Ovis aries: one gene and its partners. The protein of the gene in region 4 purifies or fractionates together with the protein of the main gene of each other region. This does not show direct contact. Links are inferred from orthologs where the notes say so. Each region holds a gene or a part of one and is shown on either strand. Other genes may lie near its edges.

What was found.
Region 1: the proteins of CUL7 (region 4) and LGALS3BP purify together in Homo sapiens (affinity purification with mass spectrometry; 3 studies listed by BioGRID and IntAct, with this or other methods). This does not show direct contact. The link is inferred for Ovis aries from reciprocal best matches to the Homo sapiens genes CUL7 and LGALS3BP.
Region 2: the proteins of CUL7 (region 4) and FBXW8 purify together in Homo sapiens (affinity purification with western blotting; 12 studies listed by BioGRID and IntAct, with this or other methods). This does not show direct contact. The link is inferred for Ovis aries from reciprocal best matches to the Homo sapiens genes CUL7 and FBXW8.
Region 3: the proteins of CUL7 (region 4) and GLMN purify together in Homo sapiens (affinity purification with mass spectrometry; 4 studies listed by BioGRID and IntAct, counting the BioPlex papers as one, with this or other methods). This does not show direct contact. The link is inferred for Ovis aries from reciprocal best matches to the Homo sapiens genes CUL7 and GLMN.

Annotation. Positions count from the first base shown.
Region 1 is NC_056064.1:52,760,534-52,768,172, forward strand, and holds the end of LGALS3BP (galectin-3-binding protein), read left to right. Parts: intron 1-381; coding exon 382-513; intron 514-1,618; coding exon 1,619-1,871; intron 1,872-3,916; coding exon 3,917-4,949; 3' UTR 4,950-5,527; downstream 5,528-7,639. Other genes in the region: TIMP2 (metalloproteinase inhibitor 2), read left to right, coding at 7,425-7,584.
Region 2 is NC_056070.1:58,085,785-58,093,423, forward strand, and holds part of FBXW8 (F-box/WD repeat-containing protein 8), read right to left. Parts: intron 5,190-7,639; coding exon 4,983-5,189; intron 1-4,982. UniProt on the Homo sapiens protein: Substrate-recognition component of the Cul7-RING(FBXW8) ubiquitin ligase complex, which mediates the ubiquitination and subsequent proteasomal degradation of target proteins.
Region 3 is NC_056054.1:69,547,432-69,555,602, reverse strand, and holds the start of GLMN (glomulin), read left to right. Parts: upstream 1-4,001; 5' UTR 4,002-4,088; intron 4,089-4,891; 5' UTR 4,892-4,915; coding exon 4,916-4,954; intron 4,955-5,366; coding exon 5,367-5,492; intron 5,493-8,171. Other genes in the region: putative RNA polymerase II subunit B1 CTD phosphatase RPAP2, read right to left, coding at 3,033-3,078, 3,797-3,869.
Region 4 is NC_056073.1:16,663,417-16,670,650, reverse strand, and holds part of CUL7 (cullin-7), read left to right. Parts: coding exon 1-23; intron 24-297; coding exon 298-388; intron 389-492; coding exon 493-664; intron 665-842; coding exon 843-948; intron 949-1,252; coding exon 1,253-1,348; intron 1,349-1,484; coding exon 1,485-1,660; intron 1,661-1,768; coding exon 1,769-1,902; intron 1,903-2,227; coding exon 2,228-2,410; intron 2,411-2,709; coding exon 2,710-2,816; intron 2,817-2,925; coding exon 2,926-3,108; intron 3,109-4,277; coding exon 4,278-4,438; intron 4,439-4,600; coding exon 4,601-4,817; intron 4,818-4,928; coding exon 4,929-5,226; intron 5,227-5,921; coding exon 5,922-6,067; intron 6,068-6,189; coding exon 6,190-6,316; intron 6,317-6,404; coding exon 6,405-6,610; intron 6,611-6,860; coding exon 6,861-7,184; 3' UTR 7,185-7,234. UniProt on the Homo sapiens protein: Core component of the 3M and Cul7-RING(FBXW8) complexes, which mediate the ubiquitination and subsequent proteasomal degradation of target proteins. Core component of the 3M complex, a complex required to regulate microtubule dynamics and genome integrity.

The DNA of each region.
Region 1 (7,639 bases), on a different chromosome or scaffold from region 4:
CACGTATTCAGCCACAGGGGTAGATGCATAAGTTACGCAATAATTGTTTGACATCTACAAAGCCCACCGACCGGGTCGAACAAGGCTAGTTCATGGTACAGAGTTTCAGTAATAGATCTGGACCCCATGCTCGAGTAGTCACACGAGAGTACCGGGTGAAAGCACCTGCCCACGTGGACCCACGCTGGGGGTTACGTCACCAACCAGGGGCTGCTTTACTGGGAGGCAGGATTGCAGAGTGCTTTTATCCATCTCTGTGCGTAACCGCGACTGTCCTTTACTAGGCTTCTTGGGGAAGCAGCACTGTTGGGAGGGCCTTCCTCCCAGGGCCGAGAGCCCCAGCTCCCCCTCCAGGCTCTGTCATCCTTGCTGTGCTTCCAGGACACGGCCCTATCATGCTGGACGAGGTGAGGTGCACGGGGACAGAGCCCTCGCTGGCCAACTGCTCATCCCTGGGCTGGATGCGGAGCAACTGCAGACACGATGAGGACGCCAGCGTAATCTGCACCAACGGTGAGCCCCATCCTGGGCCCCAGAGGCCCGAGGCCTGGATCCCAGGGACGGTGGTCAGGCCGGCTCCCCGGCTCCACGTGAATCATATGCCTCCCTACGCGAAGGTTCGCAGGTGATGCCCACTCTCCAGGAGGGACAGGAAAGCCCGCAGTTCCTACCACAGTAAAGAATCCCCCTGAGACAGGAAGCAGTTGTCACCGGGCACAGGGAATTGAACCCATGTCCTCTGCGCTGGAAGTGTGGAGTCATAATCTCAGTACCAGCAGGGAAGTCCCGGTCAGGGAACTAGGATCCTGCATGCCATGAGTTACAGCCAAAAGAACCCAGTACTTGAGTGCTGAAAATTGCTAACTACCCTCCGAGCCTTCAGCAAGTCATAATCCTTTTGCAATAGTAACATCGAATATCACTGAGAATTGCCAAACCATGACGCAGAGACGCAAAGTGAGCAAATGTCATCAGAAGAAAAATAGCAAGACACTGTCGCACCCTTCAGTTTCTGAGAAACATGGCAACGCACAGCGAAGCGAGGTGCCTGTGCACCCCACGTCTGCACACTGCAGGCTCACCCCTTGAATCGGCAGCCTTCTGTTTCTGCTGGGAAAGGGGGTGCATCACCTCCAAACCAGGCTGGGAACTTCCAGGAGCTTCTCTAGGCCTCAGTCCCTTGTAGGAGGCTGCCAAGGACCCCAGAGCTCTAAACCACATTGCCGTGGGACACTCTTCAGACCAGACGAGGCAGGAGGTTCAGGTTTTAGACAGTCACATCTGGGTGATTGATTGACTGACTGATTGGGATAGGACCCCAAGTTCTGGAAGTCAGCCCCTCCAGATCCCCCCAAGATGTGCCATCTGAATGTTGGGGGGGCAGGTGAGCTACAACATAGGGGTGTTTGACGGGGTGGGGCTCTGGGCCACGGGGGGCGACGGCACCCTGTGTTCCAGGGCTGTTCTTTCCTCATCTCCCCAGAAGCCTTTCTGAGCTGATAAGGCAGGATCCACAGTTTAAGGGAAGAATCTGACTCCGGGGAGCAAAACTCTGTGTTTTCGGGTCACAGAGGAAGCGAGTGCCGGGGCCCCTCCTAACATGCATCCCCCTCCATAGAAACCAGAGGTGTCTACACCCTCGACCTATCCGGCGAGCTCCCCGCGGCTCTAGAGCAGATCTTTGAGAGCCAGAAGGGCTGTGACCTGTTCATCAGGGTGAAGGTGCGTGAGGAGGACGAGCTGGCCATCTGCGCCCACAAGCTGATCCTGTCCACCAACCCCGAGGCCCATGGCCTGTGGAAGGAGCCGGGCAGTAGGGTCACCATGGAGGTGGATGCTGAGTGTGTGCCCACCGTTAAGGACTTCATCAGGTGAGTGGCCTCGGGGCCGGGCCCAGGGACCGGGCAGCGTCCCTGCCAAAGGAAAACCCCAGGGACGAGGGACGCGACACCAACCGCAGCTGTGCTCACCTGAACACACGCGAGGGCAACCACATACGTGCTCTCTCACTTGTGCGCACACATGCTCACACACCCACACGTGTGCACACTCACTTTCACAGCCACACGTCCTCACCTTTGCACACACATTCTTATGTATTCTTTCCACAGGGACTGTGAGAAATGGGTCAGCCCTCACACGTACACACACACACACACACGCACACCACACCTGTCTCTCGGGTGTCATAAGCACCCAAAAAAACTATCAAAGTCATTCTTCCTCTTTTCACCTCACTGATCTGCTCCTGCAAAAGTTTTTTTTAAAGAAACAGGAATCCAAGTCTGCTGCCGGAAGAAAGTGGGGAGAAAATTCCCAGGTGGCACCGTCCAGGCGGCAGTCTAACCAGCGGGCCATCCACGCTGGGAGCCCATCTCCCAGTTGAGAGTGGCCCCCGAGGCCCCTTCCCCTGCAGACCATCCTGCTGGGGGGTCTCTATGTCACCACATCGGGCGGGCTTTCCAGGGACTGGCGTTCTGGGAGCATCAACTTAAAGAGAGAACCAAGTGTATGAAAAGCTGTTCCCTCTCATGACCCAAAGTTGTAGCTAGCCGAAAGTGACATTTAAGAGGAAACAGCAAATGGCAGTTTAAAAAGATTAAATGGCGTCTTTTCAGCCGAGGATGAGAGCTTGGCCGCTGTCCTGCGCCCCTCCCAGCAGGGCTGAGGTCTGTGATGCGTCTGTGCCTGGTCCCAGCCTCTCGGCAGTCACCGCCCTCGGTCAGAGTCAGCGGTTCTCTGGACTGTCTAGCCATGTGCTCCAGCTTGCTCTCTCTGTCTCTCTCTGCCTTCCTGTCTCCTTCTGCCTCTCACTCCATCTCTATCTTCCTGTTGCCCTGTATCTTTGTGTCTCTCGCTCCCTCCCTCTCTCTCTGTCTCTCTCCCTCCTCTAAGGCAGAGAGGCAGCAATGAGCCCCACCCAGGCCCTAGAGGGTCTCTGGAGACCCTGGTTCACTGCCTACACCACCCCCCACTCCCCTTCCCTCTGCCCGGCAGCCCCCACGTGGTGCAGATGACCATTTTGGTTCTCGAGTTCACATTCAGCAACAGAATCACAGGATGTACTGAGCACATCAGGGCAGAGCGGCAGGTGGGACGAGGACCGGCCCACCCTTGCTGCTGCCACTGGACTCTGTGGGGTCCCGGCTCCTTTCTGGGCACCCGAGGCTCCGTGTTCAAGTGATGGGGAAGCCAGCAAGTCTGAGGCTCCCTGGAAGGCTCGTCATTCGAGAGAAGTGGTGGACAGAGTTTGGTTCTTTCCAAAGCAGGGCCCCATTCACCATCTCCCAGGAGACGGCAGGGGCCATTGCCTGGCGTTTCCCCTCCCAGCAGGCTCCCTCCACACGTGTCTTCATGAGCAAAGTGCCTCCTGGTGGCACACTGAGTTACACGGTGGGTGGCATAGACTGGGTGCCACCCACAGGGCTCACAGCTGGCAGGGATGGCAGACAGGAGGTGACCCATGATGATGCCCATGTCATGGGGGCACCAGACAGGTGCTGGGGCAGAGGGGCACCCATGGGCACCCAGTGGGGAAATCAAGAGTTCTGCCCAGGGGTGTGACAGGGGAGAGGGAAGGGCAGAGCCCCGGATGGCCAGCGGGTCCTGGTGTCGGGGCCCAGCCCATGAAGATGACGGTGATGATGGAGGAGGTGGCGGGACCGTCCCCATCAGTGAGGACGAAGCAACATCCTCAGGGTGTCTGGGGTCCGCCCAGCTGCCTATGCACTTGGCTCTCGGCCCACATAGCTTGGAATGGGGGTTGACTCAGGAGATAAGTCAGGGGGCTCCAAATGCCCCCTGAAATAGCTGGCACCCCGGGGATCAGCAGTCAGCCAGACACCTGCACCGGGGCACACCTGTCGTCCTTCGGGAGAAGGGGTGTAGCCAGGCGTCAGCCCTCGTCTCCCCTCAGGTACCTCTACTCCCGGAGGATCGATGTGTCTCTGTCGTCAGTGAAGTGTTTGCACAAGCTCGCCTCTGCCTACCAGGCCGAGCAGCTGCAGAGCTACTGCGGGCACCTCTTTGCCATCCTCATCCCCCAGGACCCCTCTTTCCGGACACCCCTGGAGCTCTACGCCTACGCCCTGGCCACCCGGGACCCCGTGCTGGAGGAGATCTGCGTGCAGTTCCTGGCCTGGAACTTCGGGGCCCTGACGCAGGCCGAGGCCTGGCTGAGCGTCCCCCCGGGCCTGCTCCAAGACCTGCTCTCCAGGACCGAACTAGTGGTGCCCAGCGAGCTGGTCCTGCTGCGGGCTGTGGACGAGTGGAGCCGGGAGAGGAGCACCTCCCACAAGGAAGTGGAGGGCTTGGTGGAGAAGGTGCGGTTCCCCATGATGCCACCCCGGGACCTCTTCTCGCTGCAGTTTAACCTGTCCCTGTACTGGAGTCACGAGGCGCTCCTCCAGAAGAAGATACTACAGGCCCTGGAGTTCCACACCGTGCCCTTCGAGCTGCTGGCTCAGTACTGGGGCCTGAACCTCACCGAGGACGCCTACCAGCCCCGGCTTTATACCTCGCCCACCTGGAGCGAGTCTGTGATGAGCTCCAGTTACAACCCCTACCGGTCCTTCCAGACGCCCCAGCACCCCAGCTTCCTCTTCCAGGCCAGTTCCGTCTCCTGGTCTTTAGTCTACCTCCCCACCCTCCAGAGCTGCTGGAACTACGGGTTCTCGTGCTCCTCCGATGACCCCCCACTCCTGGCTCTCTCCAAGTCCAGCTACTCCAGTCCCACCATTGGCTATGAAAACCGGGCCCTGCTGCACTGTGAGGGGAGCTTTGTGGCAGACGTCATCGACTTCAAGGGCTGGAAGGCCCTGATCCCCAGTGCCCTGGGTACCAACAGCTCCAGGAGCACTTCCCTCTTCCCCTGCCCGGCAGGGCTCTTCAGCAGGTTCCAAGTCGTCATCCGTCCCTTCTACCTGACCAACTCCACGGGCATGGACTAGACTCGAGGCTGGAGGTCGGGGTGGGCAGGAGCCCAGAGGCTGGGCACCTTCCTCCCCTCCACATCCTCTCTGCAGCCACCTCCAACCACCGGCCACCAGGTGGCCCCCCTGCTTCCCTTGATCTCTCTGAGCTTACGGAAATTACTGGAAGACTTCAGCTACTGCAGACTTCCCTGGTGGCTCAGATGGTAAAGAATCTGCCCACAATGTAGGAGACCTGGGTTCAACCCCTGTGTTGGGAGGATCCCCTGGAGAAGGGAATAGCAACCCACTCCAGTATTCTTGCCTGGAGAATCCCATGGACAGAGGAGCCTGGCAGGCTACAGTCCACGGAGTCTCAGAGTCAGAGACAACTTGTTGCAAAGAGTTGGACACAACTGAGCATCTAACACTTCCTTCCTTCCTTCAACTAGTGCACTCACAAGCTGAGAACTCCCACTTCAACTGCACAGCTAATTTGTTGGGAAGCAATGAGATGTGAGCCAGGAGCTGTTGGGTTTCCTACCTGGCCTTTCACTTTCTCCACCCTCTGCTGTCCCTTATCTGAGATCATTAAAATTGTACTGTGGTTCCCCCAAGTTCTCTTGTTCACGCAGAATGGGCTGATGAGTCCATAGGGTGTTGAGACAGAGGATGATGCGCTAGGCCCTGGGATCCAGTAATGAGCCAGTGTGGTCCCTTCCCCGTGAAGCTGCTGTGGTCTTGTAGGTGAGACAGGCCATTACAAGTAAGCAAACACTTGGGGTGAGGACCAGCGGGAATAATGGGTGATGGAAACCAGAGGAAGGAAGGTGGGAGGCACGGGCTGGAGCTACTTTAGTGGATCTCAGTGGAGAAATGAAGCGTGCGAGGCAGCAGGCGTGGGGGAAATGGCAGGAGGGTGTGTGTGTTCCAGGGAGAAGGATCAGTAGGTGATCGGAATCTTGGCCCCATCAATCTTCCCACTTGTGTACAGGGAAGGGGGCAGAGATTCTCGTCCCAGCATTGTTTGTAGAAGTGGAAATTTGCAAAGAACGTAGAAGGCCACCAATGGGGTGCTTGAGCACAAATAAAGGACACCCACAATGTGGAGGGTCAGGCAGAAGGGTATACGGAAAGGAGACCGGAGGACCCACGGAATCTAGGGCAAGGCAAGGGAACCGGACCTGGGGTCCCACAGGGACATTGTGTTAGAATGCCACCACCAGGTTCTGGGCGCTGGAGGCTGCCCCTGCTGCAAGCGGGGCAAGAATTCTAAACTGTCCCCGCTTCTTTGTGATACACACGCTCCAGGCACCAGGCCCCAGTGGAAGCATCTGGTTGGCCAGGCCCAGGCCACGTGCCCTTCCCCCTGGCCAGGGTCTGAGAGAACAAGCACCTGGACTGTTCTGGCCTTGAGAAGGGAGGCAGCACTGGACTCACCCAACGGGAGGGAGATCCAGAAGCTGGGCAGCCAGGACGGCAGCTGTCCCCACTACACACGCCTCTTCCCCTCTAGCCCTGCGAAAACAAGAGCAGGGACACACGAAGCCTGCCCCTGCCCCCATGCAGCTTCACCCTTTCCCAGAAGGCGCCCCTAGCCCCAGCTCCCTCCCAGGGTCCAGGCCCACCATCTTGGGCACCTCTATGGTGGTCCTTTGACATCATAAAAATCTACCACTTTGTTTAAACCACACTGTTGACCATGGCCTTCACCGCCGTCGGGGACCGTAGCTGGTAAAGGAAGACAGGAAATGCTGGTTATCAACGTGCTCCAGACACACACAGGGGAGCGCCAGTCTCACTGAAGCAATGAGCCACAAACCCACAGCATCCTCCTCTCCTACCCACTCCCTGGACCTCTGCCCAGAGCCAGCACCCCAGAAGTGAAGGTACAGGCCTGGTCAGGTAACCGGAACCTTTGCTCCAGAGTGCTCCGGGCCCTGGTGGATCCAGACTATAGGGAAGCCCGCGGCCCCACCTTGAGCCATGGGATCAGCCGTGTGAGGACACGCCCAAGGAATCCCCGAGTTCCTTCCATCCTCCTTATGGGTGTTCAAGTGGCAAGTTTGTCCCCCTGACAGTCAGGGTCCAGCCGCCCAGGGTAGGCCTCCTGCCTTCTTTCCTCACCCATCCCATTTGCCTGAACACATGAGTGGTCCCCTTGATCGATGCTGGTCTCAGCTTCTGGCCAGAGGAGCCTGGAGGTGTCTGTTAGTGGAAACATTCCTTTCGTGGGTGTAAAAACTAAACCAGCAGAGTCCAGAGTTAGGGGGACCGGACGCAGAGCGTCTGGCCCTGGGGCCTAATCTGTCCTGCTCGGCCACCACTGGCTCCCACACTAGGGGTGCAGGTCGGGGAGGGACTCCCACCGCCACAGACTGGAGCCCAGGGCCGGGTGTTTGTTTGGGGTTGTTCTGTTCTGTTCTGTTCTGTTCTGTTTGGCAGTAAATAATGAAAGAATGTATGAAGGAATCTGGAAGCTGGGCGGTTCCAGGATTGGCTAATGTGCTGTTGATGTCTTCAGACCCAGATCCCTCTGTCTTTCCTCACTGTTATCTGGAGCCTTGGGATCTGGCCTCGCCCTCCGTGTCATGGGCTACTCTTGCGACAGCAAATCCCTTGGCCTTGGCACCTTCATGCTCGGGGAGCAGCGGTCCAGCCGTCGCACTGGTCGGTGAGTCCAGGGCTGGTAGCGCTAAGGCGGACTGATGGGTGGGGAGGACGACCCA
Region 2 (7,639 bases), on a different chromosome or scaffold from region 4:
TCCCTCTAGCCTCATTTTGTTTGTGACCTTTTGCAAAGCCTGTTGAAAGATGCTAAGGAACAGCGAGGAGAATGGGATGCACTGCCATCCACCACTTTCCAAGAAACATCTTCTACAGAGGGCAACAGTTATCAAATGATGAAGGCTCAGACCCTTCTGACCCAGCAAGTCTTTACTTTGAGGAACTAAGCCTATAAATACGTTCACATGGATCAAGTGTTGTTCACAACAGCCAAAGACTGGGAGCAAGCTAACATCCATCAACAGGGGGTAAGGTAGCCTAATTATTTAAGGGACAACTACAAAGTGCAACATCATTAAATCTCACACACACACACACACTACCAGGAAGTTCTTTATTATGTTACAAGAAATGATGAAATGATCTCCAAGACATTTTGCTGCAAGAAAAAGCAAGATGCAGGACAAAAATAGTGTGTTTTACCATTTATATTTTTTAGAAAGAAGGGATGGAGGACATGCATGAATCATCTGCTTACATACGCATAAGATGTACTCTGCAGGGATGTACAAGACACTGACAACACGGTCTCAGCTCCAGGAAGAGAACCTGGGTGGCAGGTCAGAAGGAGTGGGAGGAGTCATCCCACTGTGCACCCTCCCTTTCGCATCTTTTGATTTCTGAATCAGGTGAATGCATTACCGAGTCAAAAAGTACTTTTTCAAGGGTGTTTAAAGATCTGCTCTTTTAAGAAAGAATGAAAATAGATAATAGCCATTTTTCCATGACTTTACCTGGCCAAAGGAAAAGGTGGTAAACCCAGGCATGGCCTCTAGTTTTGGCCTCTGAAATCCAGAAATCTGAGGATCCCTATGCCACGGACAAACCAAGATGCGGCTGACCACTAGCGTTTTCTCTGGTCTTCCTACCAGAGCTGGACATGGCTGACCCAGCTGTAATCACATGTGTTTCCTTAGATTAAATAAATCATTTCTCCTAAGTCACTTGGCTTCATTTCCTTATAAAACTATGTTTACTAGCTTAGTAACCTACGTACCAGACTACTGAGACCTGTGCACAATGCTGTTTTAATTTTCCAAAGCTGAAACATGACTGGTGTCCTGTAACTCTCTGTGATGAATATGTGACAGGTTGGCTAGTAGGCATGTGAATGGATGAGTCTGAACCATTATTACTATGCTCAGACAGCTGTAGTACCTAGAGAATGTTAATGTGATCATCAGATGGTACAAGGATATTCTCCAAGTAAACAAAAATAACACTACTGGAATACTCCTACAGGTCAGGGAAACTTCAGTTCCCGCCAAAAAATTGACATCAACATTTGGACTTCACATCTGCATTTATCACAGTCAATCAATAGTGGGCTCTAGCTGACCCCCAGTTCTGTATCTGGTACAAACGAAGACACACCGAACTCTGTGTTCCCATAACGCCTTCATCTGAATCCTAGACATATGGCCAGAGGTAGACACAAATCCCCACATGGACGCAGCTGCAGGCTCGCTCTACTGCTAACAGTCTCACACTAACCTGATAAAAAGTGCTGTTCATGTGCTGCCAGGCCAGAGACCAACAGGACCAAAGTGTGGAACTCACAAGCAAGGTGACTAGGAGGCCACACAGAAGACTTTGAGAATTACAATAGTGCGTCATGCAATGGCAGGATGCTACTGAAACCTCACAGAGCCACTGTGACATGGCTTAATTCACATGGCAATGCTGATTTTTCTGAAGAAGCAGAAAACCCATTAAGCATAATCAGATGGAAAGTCCCGCCTCTGCAAAAACAAGGAAAGATTCACAGCAAAGGCTTGGCTTTCCTCACGTTTGAGTGGGTGGCATTCATGTTGGAGAAACATCTTAATGCAGAGTTCTCACCAGCGCTACTAACAGCCCACCCACCCAAGGGTATCAAAGTTTGCTGGTGTACTCACAAAACCTCTGGGTAACTAAATGCCACTGCAAGATTTCAGAGAGGTGCTTAAACACATTCTTGTAGCAAATTTACTTTCACTCTTAAAACACCAATGGAAAACACCTACTAACAAGTGACAGACGTTATTTTCTTAGCACCAAAATCGCTGCGGAGGGTTGACTGCAGCCACGAAATCAAAAGACACTTGCTCCTTAGAAGAAAAGCTATGACAAACCCAGACAGCCTATTAAAAAGGAGAGATATCACTTTGCCGACAAAGGTCCATCTAGTCAAGGCTATGGTTTTTCCAAGAGTCACGAATGAATGTGAGAGTTGGATCATAGATAAGGCTGAGCACTGAAGAATTGATGCTTTCCAACTGTGGTGCTACAGAAGACTCTTGAGAGTTGCTTGGACTGCAAGGAGATCAAAGCAGTCAATCCTAAAGGAAATCAACCCTGAATATTCACTGGAAGGGCTGATGCTGAAGCTGAAGCTCCACCTCGGGCACATGATGAGAAAAGACGACTCACCGGTTAAGACCCTGATGCTGGGAAAAACTGAGGGCAAGAGGAGAAGGGGATGGCCAAGGATGAGATGGCTGGATGGCATCACTGACTCAATGGACATGAGTTTGAGTAAGCGCCAGGAGAGAGTGAAGGACAGAGAAGTCTGGTGTGCTGCAGTCCATGGGGTCATAAAGAGCCAGACATGTCTTGGTAAGTGAACAACAGCAAGTTATTAGAGGGAACAGGAACTTTTTAAAATGAATTTTTATCAAATTAACATACAAATCAGCTAATTCTCATAATTAATGCTTTTTAATTGGGTTGGAAAATTTGAGAGCCATCCAAAAAAGCGCCTATTTAGACCAATATCTAAAGGGTGCTCCAAGTCTAATTTTGTGCTGAGCTATTTCTTTAACCAGGGGCTTGGCTTCCCAGATGGCAGTGGTAAAGAATCTGCCTGCCAATGCAGGAGACAAAGGTTCAATCCCTGGGTCAGGAAGATCCCCCGAAAGGAGGATATGGCAACCCACTCCAATATTCTTGCCTGGAAAATTCCATGGGCAGAGAAGTCTGGCAGGCTACAGTCCATGGGGTCACAAAGAGCTGGACACGACTGAGCAACTGAGCACACACACATCCCTTTAACTGGTTTCTCAAATATATCTGTTTCTCAAATACATCCAACTACGACTGTATCACTATAGAAAGAGATCCACTCAGATAAGTCAAAGAGAAATAGGACCTGTCAGCTGAAATATTTACTAAAACTATGAAAGATTTAAACCAGGCTAGTATTAATTCAGGTATCACCTCACTACACTGAGAACCTGAGAAATAAGAGAGATAATTGAAACCTGAAAGCATGATGGATGAAAAATTAAGAAGCAAATAGTCTCTCTTCTTTCAATAAATGAGCTTGAGCTTGCCAGGGATGGGAAAAGAGTGTTTTCAAAGGCTGACAAAGGAAACTGCCTTAGGAAACCAACTGCTGTCCCTTTTTCCCCACTTTCCAGGAGGATAAAACACAGGAATTATATCATCACAGACTCTCCAGCTAAGATACGCTAAACAGGCTCCAGCAAAGCAGGCCAGCTTGAGCACAAAGGGATCCCTTTTTACAGTGAGATTACAATGAGTCTCATGTATTTTCAACCACTTTATCTGTCTTCCTGGTTGAAGAACATATAATAGGAATCCAAGTCACAAAACCAGTAAACGCCTAGAGAAGTGAGATGTGACCTTCCAGGAGATTACACAGGAGAGACAAAATGTACAAACCACAACCAGAGGCTCGGCTCAGACTATGAGTGCGAAAAAGAACAGGAAGCACTCAGAGACTGTTAATTCTCTGATGCCAGGCACTATGGGTAAAGCTTTACACACGTTGTTTCTTTAATCTTAGAATTCTACGAGGTCAGTACTGTGATGGGACTCCTTTTTACAAATGAGGAAACTAAGGCACAATGCAGGTTAAGCTACCCGTTTAAGGTCACAGTGGGGAGCGGGTGGCAGGGTTAGAACTGGAACACAGACAGCCTGTATCCAGTCTAGCTCTCTCCCAGTTCAGGACACTGCTACGTGGAAAGGGCTCTTTCCACAGGAAAAGGACGATATCAGAGGAGCTGCTGGCTCGGAGAAGTTCCTTCCCAGGGATTATACCCACTGCCAGCAGGGTGAGGAGCCAGCAAACTGGAGGAAAATCAAAACAACACAAACCTTTATCCATAACTCTCCCCGCTGATCCCATTGGAAGAGAGAGTTCTGTAAGTCAGTTTTAAGACTAAATACTTGGCCTACAGTCAGGATAGTAAAATACTAAGTAGTGCTAAAATCGAGTCATCATGCAAAGAATTTCAATTAGAAACCTGTCTCCTTGTTTCTGGCTCAGAGAGTATCAAGAGGCACTTTACACACTGCAGAAAAGGATGTAAATTTCGAGGCAACCTCATCAGAAGGCACTTTGGCAATGTCCATCAACCTTCTGACCAAGCGGCATAAATGCTAGGAATTCATCCCGGGGATTGACAAGTTGCAGTGTGCACTGGAGCACTGTCTGTTAACAGTCCACAGAGAGAGAAAGCAACCTCAGTGCCCAGCGATGAGGAGACTGGTGAAGCAGACTGTCGTAGGCAGTGCTGGAATCCCAGGGAGAGGGAGCTGACACGGAATGCTCTCCAGGGTACGCTACTGAATAAAACCTTGGGCACAGAACAGTAGTTACACTACGACCTCATTTCAAAGATACACTCTTTTAGTGTATAAACGTACCCACCTATGCATTAAAATTTTCTAGATGGATATCTAAAAACTGTTAATAGTTTCTTCTATGGAGTAGGGCTGGGGGAAGGGAAGAGAAAGGAAATTACTTGCCACTTTATATCATTTTGAGCTACCTGAAATCTTTTTTAACCAGGCTGATTATATATATACACACACACACATATATATATATCAATATATACTGCCTGAACACATCTTTTAAAAATATATCAGAGATTTAATTTTCAAATTGCCTCTTCAAATATAACATTCATGTGTTTTTGTTAAATCGTACATCTTTCTATTTTTGTACCTTGTTTCCTTCGTACACCCATCCCAGACTCTTCACACCGAAAGCAGCCTGGTTGGCGGAGACGTCCAGACACGTGACCGGCTGCCCGTAGACGTAATGGAGGGTTCTGGCAGAGTCTTCAGCTTTTAGCAGGTATACAAGATCTCCAGCGGTGGCCACTGCCACCGGGTACCTTTCAGTGTCCGGAACTATTTCAAGGTAGTCAACCTGTTAAAGGATAAGGGTTGGTTAGTCCTTCAGGTTTCACCTACAATTCGTCCTGACTTGGTCACAAATGAACAATTCCTCCTGCATGTCAATGAGAAGATCAGCAACCCAACAGAAAAAGACAGGTCAAGGGATGGTTCACAGGAAGTGAAACACAGTTCCTACACAAATGAAATGATGCTCATCATAAAAGAAACACAGCATACTCCTAATAAGAGAAATGCAAAGTGAAAATTCACAAGGTTATTTGCTGCAGCCCTATTTGGTCACAGCTAAGAACCAGAAAACCCAGAACATGCCTCACTAAGGGACTAATTAAACAATCTACAGTACACCGATGTCCTGGAATACCATGCAGTCACAGAAAAAACCACTGACATTCTCTATAAACTCTTACAAACAGATCACTGCTAAGACAAACTTGGGGGGGAAAGCAAGGAAGCAAAGGAAGAGGACTTTACAGTGTGGCAAGGTGTGTAAAAGTGGCAGAGGAAGCCTGGGACACACTTGGCTTGTATGTGCGTAAATCTAACAGTGGCCACCTTCACGGAGAGAAATGAGTTGTGGGACAGAGCAGAAGGGAGATTCTTACTATAAACCAGATTGTATCTTTTAAATTCTGAACCACGAGGCTATAATAACTATTCAAAAACCAGAGTTAATTTTTATTTCTTCATAAAAAGACTGAATAAATGACAAAATTCACTCAGTTCCAAATTAGCCAAAATTGTATTGTCACGCTTGGGCAAATACCACAAACGTGTTGCTGAAAGTGTCTGAGTTACCTGCTTCCTCCCGGTTTCAACCTCGTCCAAGGTCGGAAGGCCACAGGGAGCACGAAACACCACACAGTCCTGCCGGCCGTGCTACTGCTGCCGCTTTCTCTAGTCGGCACGCACTGGAGGGGCTCCCTTTAAGAATAATTTGCTTTTCTAGATTCAGAAGGGGCATGCTTGCCCCAGGGCCATTTATATCAGGTTTTCACCTCCCTGAATAAATTCTGAGAGGACAAAAGCAGAAGGTGAGCCACCTCTGTAATTATGAAAATCCACAGTCCCTGACAAGAAGCCAAGCAAGTTCAAAGGCCTGAATCCTGAGACCCGTCCAGAAGCGCTTGAGAGGTAAACATCTGGGTAACTCTGCTAATCCTCAGGCCCGACGGTGTGAGTGGTGGCCCACATCCCCAGCCCAGCGCCCATCACAAAGGACAGCTGTTCTGGGCCGGCATTACCGACCCGGGAACACTGCCACTGTGACTCAGGCAGCCTATCTGAGGAAGACAAAGATGGCGCAGCCCCCAGCCTGGAGGTGCCTTTTCCAGGGATGGCCCTCATCCAGGGTGAGAAACAATGGACAGTGTTATGACACATGCCTCCAGCAGTGGCCGCTCGAGTCCCCTGTCCCCCATCCTAAACGTCACTTTTTGCTTTCCTAAAATCAACATCCTCAGTCTAGCTGTTAAATTTCACCTTCATGTTGGATTTCTGGCAGATCAAGAGCTCAGACTGACTGTGACTGTGCCATTTGCTGGGAACTGGACACGACTTCACAAAGCTTCTGGTTGGTGCCAGCATGCCGCCTGAGTGCCAAGGTTGGATTTGCACTTTCTGGAGGGACTCACATCTTAAGTGTCTGAGTTCATATAATCATTGTTAATCTACAGAGTTCTTTAGGCAGAGGCCAAATAACAAGCACTACGTGGTTTTGAGAAGAAACAAAAATATGGTACTTTTGCATTTCTCTAATAAAACCCCAAGAGGAGAATACAGCACCAGGCATTTTGGGGAATGCTACCCCCAAACCAGACAGGCTTGTCATTAACAGGACAAGCAGCTTACAGAGGTAAGGTGGTGACACCATGGCTTTTTAGTTATTCATGTCTAACAAGATTCCCACTGGGAGGAAAAGGGAAAGGAGGCGGATTTGTTCCAGGTCCGGCCATCAATTTATTATTCAGTGTTGGCTTTTCTGTTCACTCTCCTACAAGTGCCAAAACCAAGTTCACTTTAAACTAAACCCAAATTCAACATAAACAGGTTTCAGCTCTTCCTTCTTACCATCACATGGTCTCCCACCACACAAATGTAGAGGCTCAGGCACAACTGAACTCAGAAACAGGCTCCATGTAATGAACTACTAAGGCGAACTCAGTTTCATACACGGTGTTGAGGAACACGCCTACCTGATCAACACTGACCAAATCTATTCTCATTCAAGAATTACTCCTGATGCCAAGTGAGAAAACCTTCCGATGGAAAAAGTGTAGGAGGGAAACCTTCTTTCCCACATGGCCTGGGATGTACCACTGCACTCATTTTCACTCTTGTATCAGGCCAGATCCTGGTCTCAGATGCCCGGGTGAACGTCCTGTCAATCCGAAGGAGGCTGAGGATGCCAGTGATGAGAAACTGCAGCCCCAATGTCAGTCCTAGGGTCTAAATCACAACTTA
Region 3 (8,171 bases), on a different chromosome or scaffold from region 4:
TACCAAACTTCTTTGTACTGAAAATATTTAGCTTTATGAAAAGCCTTATTTTTCTCATTTCACTGCTTACCAATTAAAGCTATGTCATTTACTAAGATCAGAATAGAATGTGCATTAGGAGTTCCTGATTTAAGGAGTTAATTACCTCAACCTGCAGGAACAGCAAACTCCTCAGAACTGATGAATATCTACAGCTGTTTCCCATGGACAGCCCTGTCTCAGAGCACCCTTCTATCCCACATGACACATGGTGTGGTCTACAGCAGTGGTACTCAAACTTCTGGGCATCAGTGGTCCTTAATAATCTTAGTTTTTGCTTATGCAGATTGTATCTGTTGATAGTTACCATACTGGGATTAAAGGTGAGAAAAATTTCAAGCACTCATGAACTCATTTAATAGTAATATATACATTACACGTTAACATATTTTTAAATGAAAACTTCAGTGTGAATTACGGAATTGTTTTATATTTTCACAAAGCTCATTATAATTTCTGGCTTAATACTATTCAGCTGGATTGAACGTAGAAGTATTTTTCAGTAGGAATAAATTCATGAAGGATCACTTCTCTCAACACCTAGTTGGTTACCCTCAAGGATCATCCTGGGTGATCTGCCTGAAATACGTTTCAGCTTATCTATATTCTTCACATTGTAGTACTTAGAATAAAAGATAATCTCCTCAGGCGTGTAATTAGATCCATGTTGAAGAGACCTGCAAATTACTATTATCATTATTAACTAAACTTTACTGTTGTATTATTTTCTAAAGCCAAGTATAGTCATTCTGCTCCACAGGAAAACAGATCTCAAATTCATCTGATTTCTCCACTCCCAAATGATCTTTATCCCTAACACCTTAACACTTTTGAAACTTAAATTCTGTTACTTTAAATTCAAGTTTTATTTGCACTTAGAAAATCTGAATTTCTCACCCTAGCCTACTGGTACTGTTTGAATGCAACCCTGCCTCTAACTTATTCCTACACTCCTTTCTTCCTTTGCTCAGAATGCTTCACATGACCTTGGATATCTCTTTCTTTTTTTCTTGTCACATATATTGGTGCTTCTAGCTGGAAGTCTCTCCTCACTACTCTGTCTGGTAAGTGCCTACCTAGCCTTCCAGTCAGTCTAATTATTACTTTCTCAGAGAAGCTTTTCCCTGAACACATACCACCCTTCCTGCCAACCTCTTTTGTTTTTAGTTCCATCACAGCCTTTTCATTTGCAATTATGTATTTATTTGTGATAATTTAATTGATATTTCTCTGTTCTACTAGACAGGAACTGTGTCTATACTGTTCAAAATCATATCCTCAGGGCCTCTGAAACTGAAAAACTCCCAAAAGAGAACACAGGCAGAACAGCCTTTGACATAAATCTTAGCAATTTTTTAAAATGTCTTCCAAGATGAAGGGAAAGAGCAAATATAAACAAACAGGAAGGACCTAATTATACTTAAAAACTTTTGCAAACAAAAGGAAACCATCAACAAAATGAAAAGACAATCTACTGATGGGGAGAAAATATTTGCAAATGATATGAATAATTAGAGGTTAATATCCAAAATATATAAACAGTTCACACAACTCAATATCAAAAAAAAAACAATCCAATTAAAAACTGGGCAGAAGAAACAGGACACTTTCCCAAGGATGTAGAGATGGCCAACAGGCACATGAGAAAATGCTCAACATCGCGAATCAGCAGAGAAATGCAAATCAAAGCTACAAAATGAGATATCACCTCACATCTGTCAAAAAGGCTATCATTTAAGTCTACAAATAACAAATGTTGAGGAGGATGTGGAGAAAAGGGAATCCTCCTGTTTGTGGGGATGTAAATTGGTGCACCCACTACGGAAAACAGTATAGAGGTTCCCTAAAACACTAAAAACTACCATATGATCCAGCAATTTCACTCCTGGGTATATATGTGAAGAAAATTACAACACTAGTTTGAAAAGACACATGCATCTCAATGTTCATAGGAGCATAATTTATAATTGCCAAGATACAGAAGCAATATAAGTGTCCATCAACAGACAAATGGATAAAGATGATGTGGTTTACACATGCCATGGAATACTACTCAGCCATAAAAAAGAATGAAATTCTGCAATCTGCGACAACATGGATGTCCCTAGAGGATATTATGCTTTGTGAAGTAACTCAGAGAAAGACAATTATTCTGACATCACTTATATAGAGGACAAACCAGTGGTTACCAGTGGGGAAACAGCAGGGGGAGGGGCAAGAGTGGGGTATGGGATTAAGAGATACAAACTATGTATACAATAAATAAGCAATAAGGAAGTATTGTATAACACAGGGAAATTTAGTTATTATTTTGTAATAACTTAGAATATAATCTATAAAAATATTTAATCTCTATATTGTACATCTGAAACTAATATAAATCAACTAGAGTTCAATTAAAATAAAAAAAAAATCTTATCCACAGGGACTAACACAGATCTAGCATATTTAACATTCAGTAAATAATTCTTGAATGAGTAAATTAAAACCAATACTTCATAAAATCATAACTTATAGATATATGCAGTTACATCATCCTCAAGGATGACATCTATTCTAAGAACCTTTTGTGCTAGGAGATAAACGTTGCCTTTTTAGAAGATGCCCATTGAATAGTATAGAACAACTTTTTGCTGAAAATATGGACATGATGTAAACAAAGAAAAACAACAAAAAGTTTCTTGGAGTCTGGTATATAGAACAAAAAAGGAAAGTATCTGAAGAGATGAAAAAAAGGTTCCTAGCTAATTCAGGACATTTTTCTACAGATAGTCATACATTCACCAGCAATCTAAAAGTGTCAACTTGGTTTTCTTAAGGTATGGAAGAGTAGGGGAAATAACAGTCTATTTGGGTTTACAGTACTTCTCAAATCTTCCCCTTCTCTCTAAATAATTTTACCTGAGGTAGCACCTATTACACTTTTTACAAATGGTTCAATTAGTATGAGATTAACAGATAAGTGAAAGCAGCTCTCTATGTAGTTCTCATACCTTTGAGAAGTATCTTCTTGGTTCAAGGCACTTGTCTGCTTAGTACCTACCATTAAAAGAAACAAAAAACAGTAGGTCAAGTGTACACAAACACCAGGTTACAGGACAGATTCTTGCCCCAGTAAACTGTAGACCATCTTTTCTTCTCCACACATTTCACTTCCAACTCTGTGTGAAAATCAAATGAAATGAGAAGGGAATCCAATTTGGTTTTGCAAGCTAATTATTTTTGTTGTTTAAAATGTACCTCTTTCAGACTGAATTTTCTCATTATCCTAGTCGCATAATTAAGCACTCCCGAAAGCCTGCGATCTAGGGGCAACCTCTCTCCGTCCCCCTCAATGTTAGCTCTCCGGTCCTCAAGAGATCCAGGGCACCACAGGGGCAGTCCACCTGCAAGGACGGCCAGTGCTAGGGTGAAGGCCAGCAGCACTCGGCCTTCCAACGCCCTCCTGGTCACCTGCCCACTCAGACGACCCCGATTGTAGGCTCTCCAGGACCTCTGCTGCCCTTTCCCTTAGAGCCTGGAGCACAGCCAGCCCATTTGGGGGGAAATCTTGGAAGACTAGCGTCAAGAGTTGGGGATTCGGACGAAGGTCTTTCCCAGAAGGCGAGAGTTCGGCGGTAGAAAGCTCTTGGCCTTCTTGCCCCCGAGGATCTCCTTCCCTGGGGCAGCCTTTCGGGAGCGCCCGCATGCCTCCGTCTGGAATTCTGTCGGGGCCGAATTCTCAGTTCCAAACTTGGGAAGAGGCCCTTCCTCCTACCTGGGACATCTCGGGAGGCGCGGGGACGCCGGGCTTTGCGGCCCGCAGAGCACGGTCCGACCCAGTCGGCCATGGCATGCGTCGTCAGTGTCGGAACCGACCTTGGCGTCTTTCCCCCCCAAGACTCCGCCTCCCGTCGCGCAGCGCGGGGCGGGGCCGGCTGGGAGGGGAGGGGCCCGGAAAGCAGCGCGGCGGCGGTGGCGGCGGCGGAGGAGAGCCGCGAGACGGGCGAGAGGCCTGGCGGTAGGTGGATACACGCGGGGTCCCTGGCGGCCGGGGCCCGCGGTGGGAGGTGAGCCGTGGAGGACCCGGCTTCGGGGTCGAGGCCTCCGTGAGGTCTGGGGCCCAATGGCCGACGCAGGCAGGAACCGGGAGAAATGGCTTCCCTTGGATGCAGCCTGCACGCGCGCTGGGGTTTTATTCGCTGCTGTGAGGATCCGGCGGAACCCCGTCTCTACTACTGGGCCTGCGAACCGGGCGGTGTTGCCCTGAGGGCGGCCTGTTGCCTGTCTTCGCGCGATACAGTGATTTCACTATCACAATTGATTATATGGGGCGGGGCGCAGTACATCTGTTACAGACAGATGCCCGGGTCTGTAATGCTTGTTACTCTTGGGGTGGAAGGCATCCCAACTTTCATCCCCTCCAGTGTTACATTCCAATTTCTGTCAAATGGGACATTAAAAAAAAAAAAGAAAAGAAAAAGGCTCCCTGATAATTAGAATTGATTTCAGGCCCACCTTTGGGGCGCAGGGGTGGAGGAGGAGGGTGAAGACTGTCTTTTAAAAGATCTTAGGGTAAATTTGTGCTACCTCTTGGGAATGAACTAAAGACTTTCTTTCCCCTTCAATTTATCTTTCAAAATTATGCTCCAAAAAAACTTAAAGGACGAAAAAGAGGTTTTTGTTCTTCTGTTTTTTGTTTTAATTTCTTAGGCTAACGTTTCAGTAAAAAAAAGTTTCAGCTTTAAAAACTTTCCATTTTCTTTATTGTATTTATTAATAATTCATAAGAATGAAGTAACTTATACTGAAGTAACATGATGAAGTAACTTACTATTGATAGTTAACAGGGTATTTATATGATAAATTTCAGCATCAAAACTGGAAAAAATAAGGAATGGCTGTGGAGGAACTACAGTCCATCATAAAGAGATGTGTAAGTAATTTTTTGTTTTTATTTTTAATGACATTTAATGACCTTTCAGAATATGGGAAGAGCACAGATTATTTTTAGTTACCTGCAGTCACTCAAATTGTTAATCTTCTTTAATCCTTGCTTTTTTTGACCTATGAATAAATAGCATGAAGGCAGGAAGACAGATTGGATATGTCACTTAGGGAAATAATCTTTACACTTTTAATACGGATCCTTATCATAGATTTCTTTGGCACAGTGGATTTCAAGGCGATTTATTGAAGTATTTTTTTACCTAATCCTAATTTTCATACATACGATTATGTGCAGCTTATCTAGAATTTAAACAGATTTCTTTTTTTAGAGAAAAATCAAATAGTTATTGAATTTCCATTTGCCTAAACATACTTGTTTTTTTGTTTGTTTCTGCCAGCAAATCCTAGAAGAGCAAGACTTTAAAGAGGAAGATTTTGGCCTGTTTCAGTTGGCAGGCCAAAGATGTATAGATGAAGGGCACATAGATCAGCTATTAGAAATTATTCAGAATGAAAAGAATAAGGTAAGTACAATCTTTCTGAGTACTTTTTCAGTCTTTACTAGTAAGAGAATAGGCACATGATACTATCATTCATCCATTCAGTTTTTTCAGCAAACATTTAAGAATCAACTTAAATATCCACTATAGAAAACTGTGGAAAATAAAAAGGAAATAAGATCAGTTATATACTTTAAGGTGCTTACAGTCTAGTGGAAGATATAAACATGTAAAGAACTAGCAATAAAGAGGCAGAATAAACAGATGGTGTGTATCTATTAAATCATTTAGCTTCTCCAGAATAAGTGTTACAGTTGAAATATAAGTAAAATGTAAATAATATTTTGGGAGAGCTTGATGACCTTATTGGCCAATATAATCCATCATCCGGCTATAATTGTCTCAGAAATCATTCTGCACAATGGGAAAGGATCTTCTTGGGATCAGGAACAGGAGTTTATTAACACCACCTAATTTTGTCTTTGGACTCATCCCAGTCCCACACTTCCTATATAAGACATCATCTTGTTTCAAGGAACATACTTTCTAGTCCTATTTATTTATACAGTTTTTGTAGGGACTTCCTGGCAGTCCAGTGGTTAAGACTGGGTGCTTCCTCTGCAGGGGGCACAGGTTCCATCCCTGGTCAGGGAACAAAAATCTGGCATGCCATGTGGCTCTACCAAAAAAAATTTTTTTCTTTGTTATAACATTCTAGTCATTCTGGCCTAGGATTACATACAGGGCACTTTGATTGTATTTAGATTACTAAAATCTTTTAATCACACATTGTTATAGAATCTATTACTAATTCAAAGGGCTTATCTCTTTTTATTTATAATTTTTTTAGTAAATATTAGAATGTTTTATTTAGTACATTTGTTTTTGATATGTATTCGTAATACCACTGTAGCCCCAGATAAAATAATGCTTTCTTTAACTCCTTGGTTTTTCCCAATTGCATTCTCAGAGGAGAACCTTTGAGAGTATCTTACTTTTAGCTAATCATAATAAAATCAATAAAAGTTAATAATATTTATTGTGTATCTACTATGTGCCAGATGTTCTTAGGTGCTTTACATCTTTTAACTCACCAACCTAGATAGCATATTGAAAAGCAGAGACATTACTCTGCCAACAAAGGGCCATCTAGTCAAGGCTATCGTTTTCCAGTGGTCATGTATGGATGTGAGAGTTGGACTGTGAAGAAGGCTGAGTGCCAAAGAATTGATGCTTTTGAACTATGGTGTTGGAGAAGACTCTTGAGAGTCCCTTGGACTGCAAGGAAATCCAAAAAGTCCATTCTGAAGGAGATCAGCCCTGGGATTTCTTTGGAGGGAATGATGCTGAAGCTGAAACTCCAGTACTTTGGCCACCTCCTGTGAACAGTTGACTCACTGGAAAAGACGGTGATGCTGGGAGGAACTGGGGGCAGGAGAAGAAGGGGCCAACAGAGGATGAGATGGCTGGATGGCATCACTGACTCGATGGACATGAGTCTGAGTGAAGAGCTCCGGGAGTTGGTGATGGACAGGGAGGCCTGGCGTGCTGCGATTTATGGGGTCGCAAAGAGTCAGACATGACTGAGCAACTGAACTGAACTGAGTCTCTCCTGAATCCTCTGATAGGATTTTCTAGATAAGGAAAGTGTCACTGAAAAATTAGTGACTTGCCCCAAGTTACTTAGCTTTTACGTGACATTTGACATTTAGATCTGTACAGCCTGGTGTCAGAGCTCTTAACTATTTTCGTCAACCTCCATAGCACTGTGTAGCACTTGCAGGAAGTTTTAGAGTAGAATAGAGAGGACTGATTGTGAGATTGAGACAGGTGACATGATGATGGGGTTTCTAGCCTCTGAGGAGATAATATATACTGAACAGAAATAGGCAATTTAAGAAGGGGAGAAAGTTCCTTTGATGGAGGACAAGGAAGTTGGCATTGTTCACCAATGTTGAGTTTAAGATGCAACAGGTAATTGAAAAGTAATGTTTAGAGCTCAGTAGAGAAATAGGAGATTAAGATGTAGATTTGTGTCTGACTGTTAGAGATTAGGTGATTGTGATAGACTCGAGCATAGTGAGGCTTAACCTTAATAGCTTGAGAATCACCTTGGTAAAGTGTGGTTGTTTATTTTTTGGCTGAGCCGGGTCTTGGTTACAGCATGTAGAATCTTTTTTTTTTTTTTTTTAGTGTGGCATGTGGGATCTAGTTCCCTGACCAGAGATCAAACCTGGGCTCCCTCCAGCCTGCATTGGGAGTGCAGAGCCTTAGCCCCTGGACCGCCAGGGAAGTCCCATGTGTGGTTTTCTCAATTCAAAGGTTCAGATATCGATAAGACAGAGTTTAAAAGTACACCTTAGATTTCTTTTCTAAGAAAGGTGACAGTCAAGATTGATCAAGACTATTAATCCACTTTGTGCAAAAAAAAAAAGTGTTTTTTAAAGTCATAGGAATGAAAAAAAAAAGTAAATAAAGTCATAGGAATGGTAGTTTGTCCTAAGATGCTATAGTGCAGGGATTTCCAACATTAGTACTATTGATATTTTGTAGCAGTTGTCACCCCAGTAATGACAACCAAAATGTCTCCAGGCATTACCAAATGTCCCCTGATTGGGAACAAAAGCACCCCCATTGAAGCCACTAATACAGTGGGAAAACTGTGGGCTTTGGAGTGGGACAGCCTTATATGCAAATCCTAAC
Region 4 (7,234 bases):
ACATCCTGGGAGGCTGTATCCAGGTCAGGGGGAAGGTCAGGGGGCGCTGGTGGGTTCACAGCTGGGTGAGAGTGTGAAATCCTAGCGGTGGCAGAGGAAAGGGTGTGTGTTTCTGAAGTTGGAAGGCAGGTGAGTCTAGTGAACCTGAGGAGCATTGGTTCTCAGCCGCTCTTGGCTCGCTGACCCTGCTCTGCCAGTGGCATGGAAGTGGTCCCAGAGCTGCTGGTTTTTCCTCCACGCGTGTCTCCATGTCCCTGCCCCCTCCCTGCACCCTTTCTCTCCATGTCCTGGCTGCAGATGGTGCTGGGCCAGATCGAAGACCACAGACGAACCCACCGCCCCATCAACATCCCCTTCTTCGATGTGTTCCTCAGATACCTGTGCCAGGGTTCGTGCGTGTACCCTCACCACCCCGAGTCTCCACACCTCCAAGTGTTTCCCCCCCCCGCATCTGCCAGGCTGTGACCACCACCCCTTCCCGTGTGCCCGCAGGCTCCAGCATGGAGGTGAAGGAGGACAAGTGCTGGGAGAAGGTGGAGGTGTCGTCCAACCCACACCGGGCCAGCAAGCTGACGGACCGCAACCCCAAGACCTACTGGGAGTCCAACGGCAGCGCGGGCTCCCACCGTATCACCCTGCACATGCAGCAGGGCACCCTCATCAGGTAGCGCGCCCCGGGCCTGCACCTGACACACACCCTCGCCTTCTCGCGACTTCCCTGCTGTTGGTCTTGGGGAGGGCCCCCGTCCCCCTGAACGTGACCAGAAGGTCCCCTTGGCCGTGTCTGTGGGCACCCGACTGGATCTGGAGCTGACTGGTCCCTCTGCCCTCGCCCCTCCCAGGCAGCTGGCTCTGCTGGTGGCTAGCGAGGACTTGAGCTACATGCCGGCCAGGGTGGTGGTGTTCGGGGGCGACAGCGCCACCTCCCTTAACACGGAACTCAACTCGGTAGGGCCCCTTGTGCCGTTTGGCCACCCCTCATGGGATCCGCCCTCCTGCCCAGATCCCTAAAGGCCCGTGTTCCTCCATCTTGAGCCCCATAGAAGGTGAAGTCTGTCCGTGTGCCCCTGTGATGGCATCAGGCCCCGGGCAGTGAGGATAGCATTGGGACCCCCTCCGTCAGGACCCCATGCACCCCAGGGCTGGGGGAAGGAGGGACAGCAGGGCACAGAAGCAGACTAGGGTGCCTTCAGCACTCCCATCCACACACCGGGCGGTGACCGTGCTCTCTGCTTGCCCCCCACCCCGCCAGGTGAATGTGATGCCCTCCGCCAGCCGGGTGGTCCTCCTGGAGAACCTGAGCTGCGTCTGGCCCGTCATCCAGATCCGCATAAAGCGCTGCCAGCAGGTGGGGCTGGGGGACATGGGGTGGGGGGCGTGGGCCCCACGCTCTGCACCCTGTGACTTGCAGTTCTTGGACCAGCACTCCAGCCCATCCTGAGGAGTGTGTGGGGCCGGTGGAAACGGGCCTGTGTGCGTTGCAGGGCGGCATTGACACGCGCATTCGGGGGTTGGAGGTCCTGGGCCCCAAGCCCACCTTCTGGCCGGTGTTCCGGGAGCAGCTGTGCCGCCACACGCGCCTCTTCTACATGGTCCGGGCACAGGCTTGGAGCCAGGACATCGCGGAGGACCGCAGGGGGCTCCTGCACCTGAGCTCCAGGTGTGCGAGCACGTGTGCGCCTGTGTGCCTGAGGGGTAGCCTGCAGTTTCAGGCTGGCAGACTTGGGCTTGCAGCCCCCAACACCTTCCCACCCCCTCCCCTCCCCAGACTCAACGGTGCCCTACGCCACGAGCAGAACTTTGCCAGTCACTTCCTCCCTGACGAAGAGGCCGCCCAGGCACTGGGCAAGACCTGCTGGGAGGCCTTGGTCAGCCCCCTGGTGCAGAACATCACCTGCCCTGGTAACCGCCCCTGCCCCGGCCCATTCACCATCCCGGTGCTCAGTCCCACTCTCCAGTCCCTGCTTGCTCTTTCCTGGGTGACGCCTTTGGCCCATTTGGCACCCGCACTCATTCAGCCTCCCCACGCCCTCGGCTTCTCACAGCCCAGGGGCGCCTCCTTTCCATGTGTCCCGGGTGTCAGCTGACCCCACACAGTCAGGAGGGGCCTTGCTCCCTCCCCTCCTGTGGCAGTCCATTGCTCTCCTCTGCACGCCCATCCAGGCCAGCCTCCCCAGCAGCCTCTGCACACTCGCCCTGCCTTAGCTTGTTCTTCCCCCGCCTCCAGATGAAGAAGGCGTCAGCCCCCTGGGCTGGCTGTTGGACCAGTACCTGGAGTGTCGGGAGGCTGCCCACAACCCGCAGAGCCGCGCAGCAGCGTTCTCCTCCCGGGTGCGCCGTCTCACCCACCTGCTGGTGCACGTGGAGCCCTGTGAAGCGCCCCCCGCGGTGGCGGCCTCGCCTCGGCCCAGTGAGTGCCAGGAGCTGGCTGGGGGGGCATCTCCTTCCTCACTGTCCCCTCCCTGCAGGCGGCCACGCCTCGGCCCAGTGAGTGCCGGGAGCTGGCTGGGGGGCGTCTCCTTCCTCACTGTCCCCTCCCTGCACGCTCAGCCTGCTGCTCGCCTCCTGGTTTGTGTCACCCCCACCGGGGAGCATCATTTCAGTGGGCAGCATGTCCAGAAAGACCCCCTGAGCTCAGCCCTGGATGGGGGACCCAGGAGCTGAGGAGCTGCCCCTACCCTTCCTCTGCCCCTCCCGCTGTGTCCACAGAGGGCAGAAACAGAAGCCATGACTGGAGCTCCCTGGCCACCCGGGGGCTTCCCAGCAGCATCATGAGAAACCTGACCCGCTGCTGGCGGGCGGTGGTGGAGCAGCAGGTGGGCCGGCCAGCCGGGCGGGTGGGCCGGCCAGCCGGGCGGGTGGGCGGGCGGGGCTGTGCCCCCGGCGTGCTGGGTTGCCTTCACGCTGCCAACTCCCACCCTCCAGGTGCACAGCTTTCTGACCTCACGCTGGCGGGATGATGACTTTGTGCCCCGCTACTGCGAACACTTCAGTAATCTGCAGAAGGCGAGCTCCGAGCTGTTTGGGCCACGGGCAGCCTTTTTGCTGGCGCTGCAGAATGGCTGTGCTGGTGCCCTGCTGAAGCTGCCTTTCCTCAGAGCTGCCCACGTAAGCCTCCTGTGTCCCCTGCCCTGGGACCTCTCTCCTCAAACTCTCTCTTCCCCTCCTCAGAGTTGCCCACCCCCTACATTCCCACTCAGCAAGAAGCATGTATTGCTATAGACCCATGTTATCAAAAATCTGGAAAAAAAAAAAAAGGGAATTCCCTGGTGGCCCAGTGGTTAGGACCCTGTACTTTCACTGCTGTGGGCCCAAATTCAATCCCTGGGCAAGGAACTAAGATCTCACACACACACACACACACAAAGATAAAAGTAAAAAATGACCTGCTTTGTGCCATTCTAATATATCTTTGCATACCTTCTTCTACTTGCATGCTTGATTTCACTTAGTTTTACCCACAAGTAGCTAAATGCTTTATCCTGTTTTTTTTGACCCTTACATTAAAAGTCATTTTCATGTTGCTATTTGTCCTCAAATTTTTGCATAGAGCCCATCAAATGGATGTACTGTAATTTCCTCCACCGTTCCTATTATTCCAAGTGCTTAACCCACTCCAGTATTACTGCCTGCCGAATCCCACGGACAGGGGGAACCTAGTGGGCTACAGTCCATGGGGTCACAAAGACTTGGGACATGACTGACCAACTAACACTTTTAACATGTGTCAGGCACTGTGATAAGAGCTGAAGATAGATGAAGACCCTTCCCTCCAAGTTCACAAATCAGAAAATTTATGTGACTCACTTTATCTCAGTGGCCTTGTGTGCTTGTCTCCTTGTGTTAAATTATCATTGTTGGATTTTAGACATGCTAAATGTGAAAATCATGTTTATCATTGTTAGTATTTTTTTTAAATGTTATTTTACTGAATTTATTTGGGGGTGTCATGTCTTAGTTGTGGCACGCGGGACAAACCCGGGCCCCCAGCATCAGTAGCATAGAGTCTTAACCATTGGACCATCAGGGAAGTCCCAGTATTGTTAATGTACACAGTTGTTAATGATTTTAGGAATTTTATAAATTGTTGTTTATAATTGTTGACCAGTTGATAAAGCTGCTGGCCATTCATATTTCCTTCCTCAGACGCTCCTCCTCCCTGTGCTCCCACTCACCAGCTTCATTCTCTCCTTCAGTTTCTGACTACGATCATACCACCCTGAACACACCCGATCTCACCTCCTTCACAGTTTTCCTGTGCTCTCCCCACTGCCCAGGTGAGCGAGCAGTTTGCCCGACACATCGACCAGCGGATCCAGGGCAGCCGGATCGGTGGGGCCCGGGGAATGGAGATGCTGGCCCAACTGCAACGATGCCTGGAAACCGTCCTCATCTTCTCTGGTCTGGAGATAGCCACCACTTTCGAGCATTACTACCAGTGAGTGTGGACCGAGGAAGTGGGAGGTGGGAGGAGGCAGGATGATGGGCAAGGCAAGCCCTCGGGGTCTGGGGGCTGGGGTCTGGGTAGGCTGGAGTCTTGGAGTGGGAGGCCCTGCCAGGCAGCCTCACCAAGACTCAGCCTGGGCTGTGCATGCTGCAGGCACTACATGGCGGACCGTCTCCTGGGCGTGGGCTCGAGTTGGCTGGAGGGGGCTGTGCTGGAGCAGATCGGCCCCTGCTTCCCCAGTCGCCTCCCCCAGGAGATCTTGCGGAGCCTGAGCACTTCAGAGGAGCTGCAACGCCAGTTCCATGTATACCAGCTCCAGCGGCTTGATCAGGAACTCCTGAAGCTGGAGGACACAGAGAAGAAGATACAGGTGGAAGCGGGGGAGGGAACTAAACCAGCAAGAAGAGAGGAAGGCAGAGAGAGGCTCGGGACAGACCTGAGGAGCCGGCTGGCTTAGGGGCACCCTGTGTTCCATCTTCAGGTGAGCCGTGACGCCAGCGCCAGTGGCAGGGGCCATGAGAGAGGGACCGGGGAGGAAGCTGAGCTGGAAGCTGGGGCTGTGGCGGCAGCAGCAGCAGCCGGCGTGGCAGGGGAGGAGGAGGAGGAGGACGAGAGCGAGGATCTCTACTATGAAGGGGCAATGCCAGAAGTGTCTGTGCTCGTCCTGTCTCCACGCTGCTGGCCCACCGCCTCCATCTGCCACACGCTCAACCCCAGAACCTGCCTGCCTGCCTACCTGAGGGGCACCTTGAACCGATACTCCAACTTCTACAACAAGCGTGAGCAGCTGGGCTGAGGGAACTGGGGACCTGGGAAGAGGATAGGATGCTGGGAAAGAACCTGGGCTTGGCGGTGGCCCCTGGGCCTGGCAGCCTGTAGATTTGAGAAGAAAAGACTGGAACTTAGGTTTGGAGTAGGGGTGGGGTGAAACGGCACCAGATCCCGGGACTGTTGCTGTTTCTATTCTTCAAATAATGACCTGGGACTCCCATTATGGTGGGGAGAATGGAGGCAGAAAGCACCTGAGGTCCACAGGTGGTGGTGGGTGTCTGGCTCCTGGTCAGTCATCATAACCTCAGCTCCCCACTGGAGGCTGATCCTAGGCAGTGAAAAGGAGGTGGGTGATACTGAGACCTTGCCCTCAGGGAGCTTCTCTACCAGCTTCAAGACAGTGTTTCCAGTTTGAAGAGAGCCCCAGTCCTTTCTCACTTCGTGACTTTGTCTCCCTTAAAAAAATGGAGAACCCCTCGGAGGCACTGATCACGGGCTGCCTGGCATGGGGTGGGCTCCCAGATACCTGAGGCTGACCCAGGAGGCAGACTCAAGGAAGGCCAAGCTCTGGAAGCTCAGACCAAGAGCCAGTGTCCAGACACACTGGACCCCAGGCTCTGCAGAGGTTAGTGAGGACAAAACTCCAGCAATGGCACGTCCTCGCCAGCCCCCCGACTCCTGCCACCTCCCTGACCCTCCTCAGGTCAGAGCTACCCTGCCCTGGAGCAGGCCCCGCAAAGGCGACTGCAGTGGACATGGCTGGGCCGGGCGGAGCTGCAGTTCGGGGACCAGACACTGCACGTGTCCACCGTGCAGATGTGGCTGCTGCTGCATTTCAACGAGCTGAAGGTGGCCCAGCTCCCCCGCGCCCCCCTGTTCTCGCAACCTGTCCATCCTCTTTCTTCTCTCCACCCTCTCTCTTCCCTGCCCCCCACCCTGGGAGGCCCTGATGCTTCCCTCTTCTTCCCAAGGCGGTCTCTGTGGAGAGTCTGCTGGCGCACTCGGGGCTCCCTCCAGATGTGCTGAATCAGGCAATTGGGCCTCTGACTTCGTCAAGGGGCCCCCTGGACCTTGATGAGACAAAGGACACCCCAGCAGGTCTGTACTTAGGGCACTGGGGCCTGTGTCCTCAGCCGGGGCCAGTGTCCTCGGGGGACCCCTGCCAAGTGACCAGCACTTATTTCAGGGTTGCTCAAGATTCGAGACGGCAGCGAGGAACCCAGGCCTCGGAGGGGCAACGTGTGGCTCATCCCAGCTCAGACATACCTGAAAGCTGAGGATGAAGAGGGCCGGAACTTGGAGAAGAGACGGAACCTTCTCAACTGCCTCATCGTCCGAATCCTCAAAGCCCATGGGGATGAGGGGCTGCACATTGACCAGCTTGTCTGCCTGGTAGGTGGCGGTGGGTGGTGGGTGAGGGGGCTTTGCCAGTTGGAGGGCAGTCTCCAGGAGGTGGGGGCCTTGTGGGGTGGGGGGCAGTCTCCAGGAGGAGGTGGATCCCCATGCGAAGTCTTGGGCTCACTGTGGACCCTGTAGGTGAGTGAGAAGTGAGGTTGGGCCTCGCTGTCCTTGGACTGGGGGCTAGAGTTGGGGTAAGCTGGGTGTCCCTGACCTCTCTTTCCCCTTCGGCCCACCACACCAGGTGCTGGAGGCTTGGCAGAAGGGCCCATGTCCTCCCAGGGGCCTGGTCAGCAGCCTTGGCAGGGGGTCCACCTGCGGCAGTGCTGACGTTCTCTCCTGCATCCTGCACCTGCTGGGCAAGGGCACGGTGAGACGCCAGGATGACCGGCCCCAGAGGCTGTCTTATGCGGTTCCCGTGACTGTCATGGAGCCTCACACTGAGTCCCTGAACCCAGGCTCCTTGGGCCCCAACCCACCCCTCACCTTCCACACCCTGCAGATCCGCTCCCGGGGCGTGCCCTACGCCTCCTGCACAAGCACCCAGAGCTTCTCTACCTTCCGGTAGCCCTGGAGACAGGGTCAGGGTTAGGTAGGGCCGGGGCTTTCCACAGAATA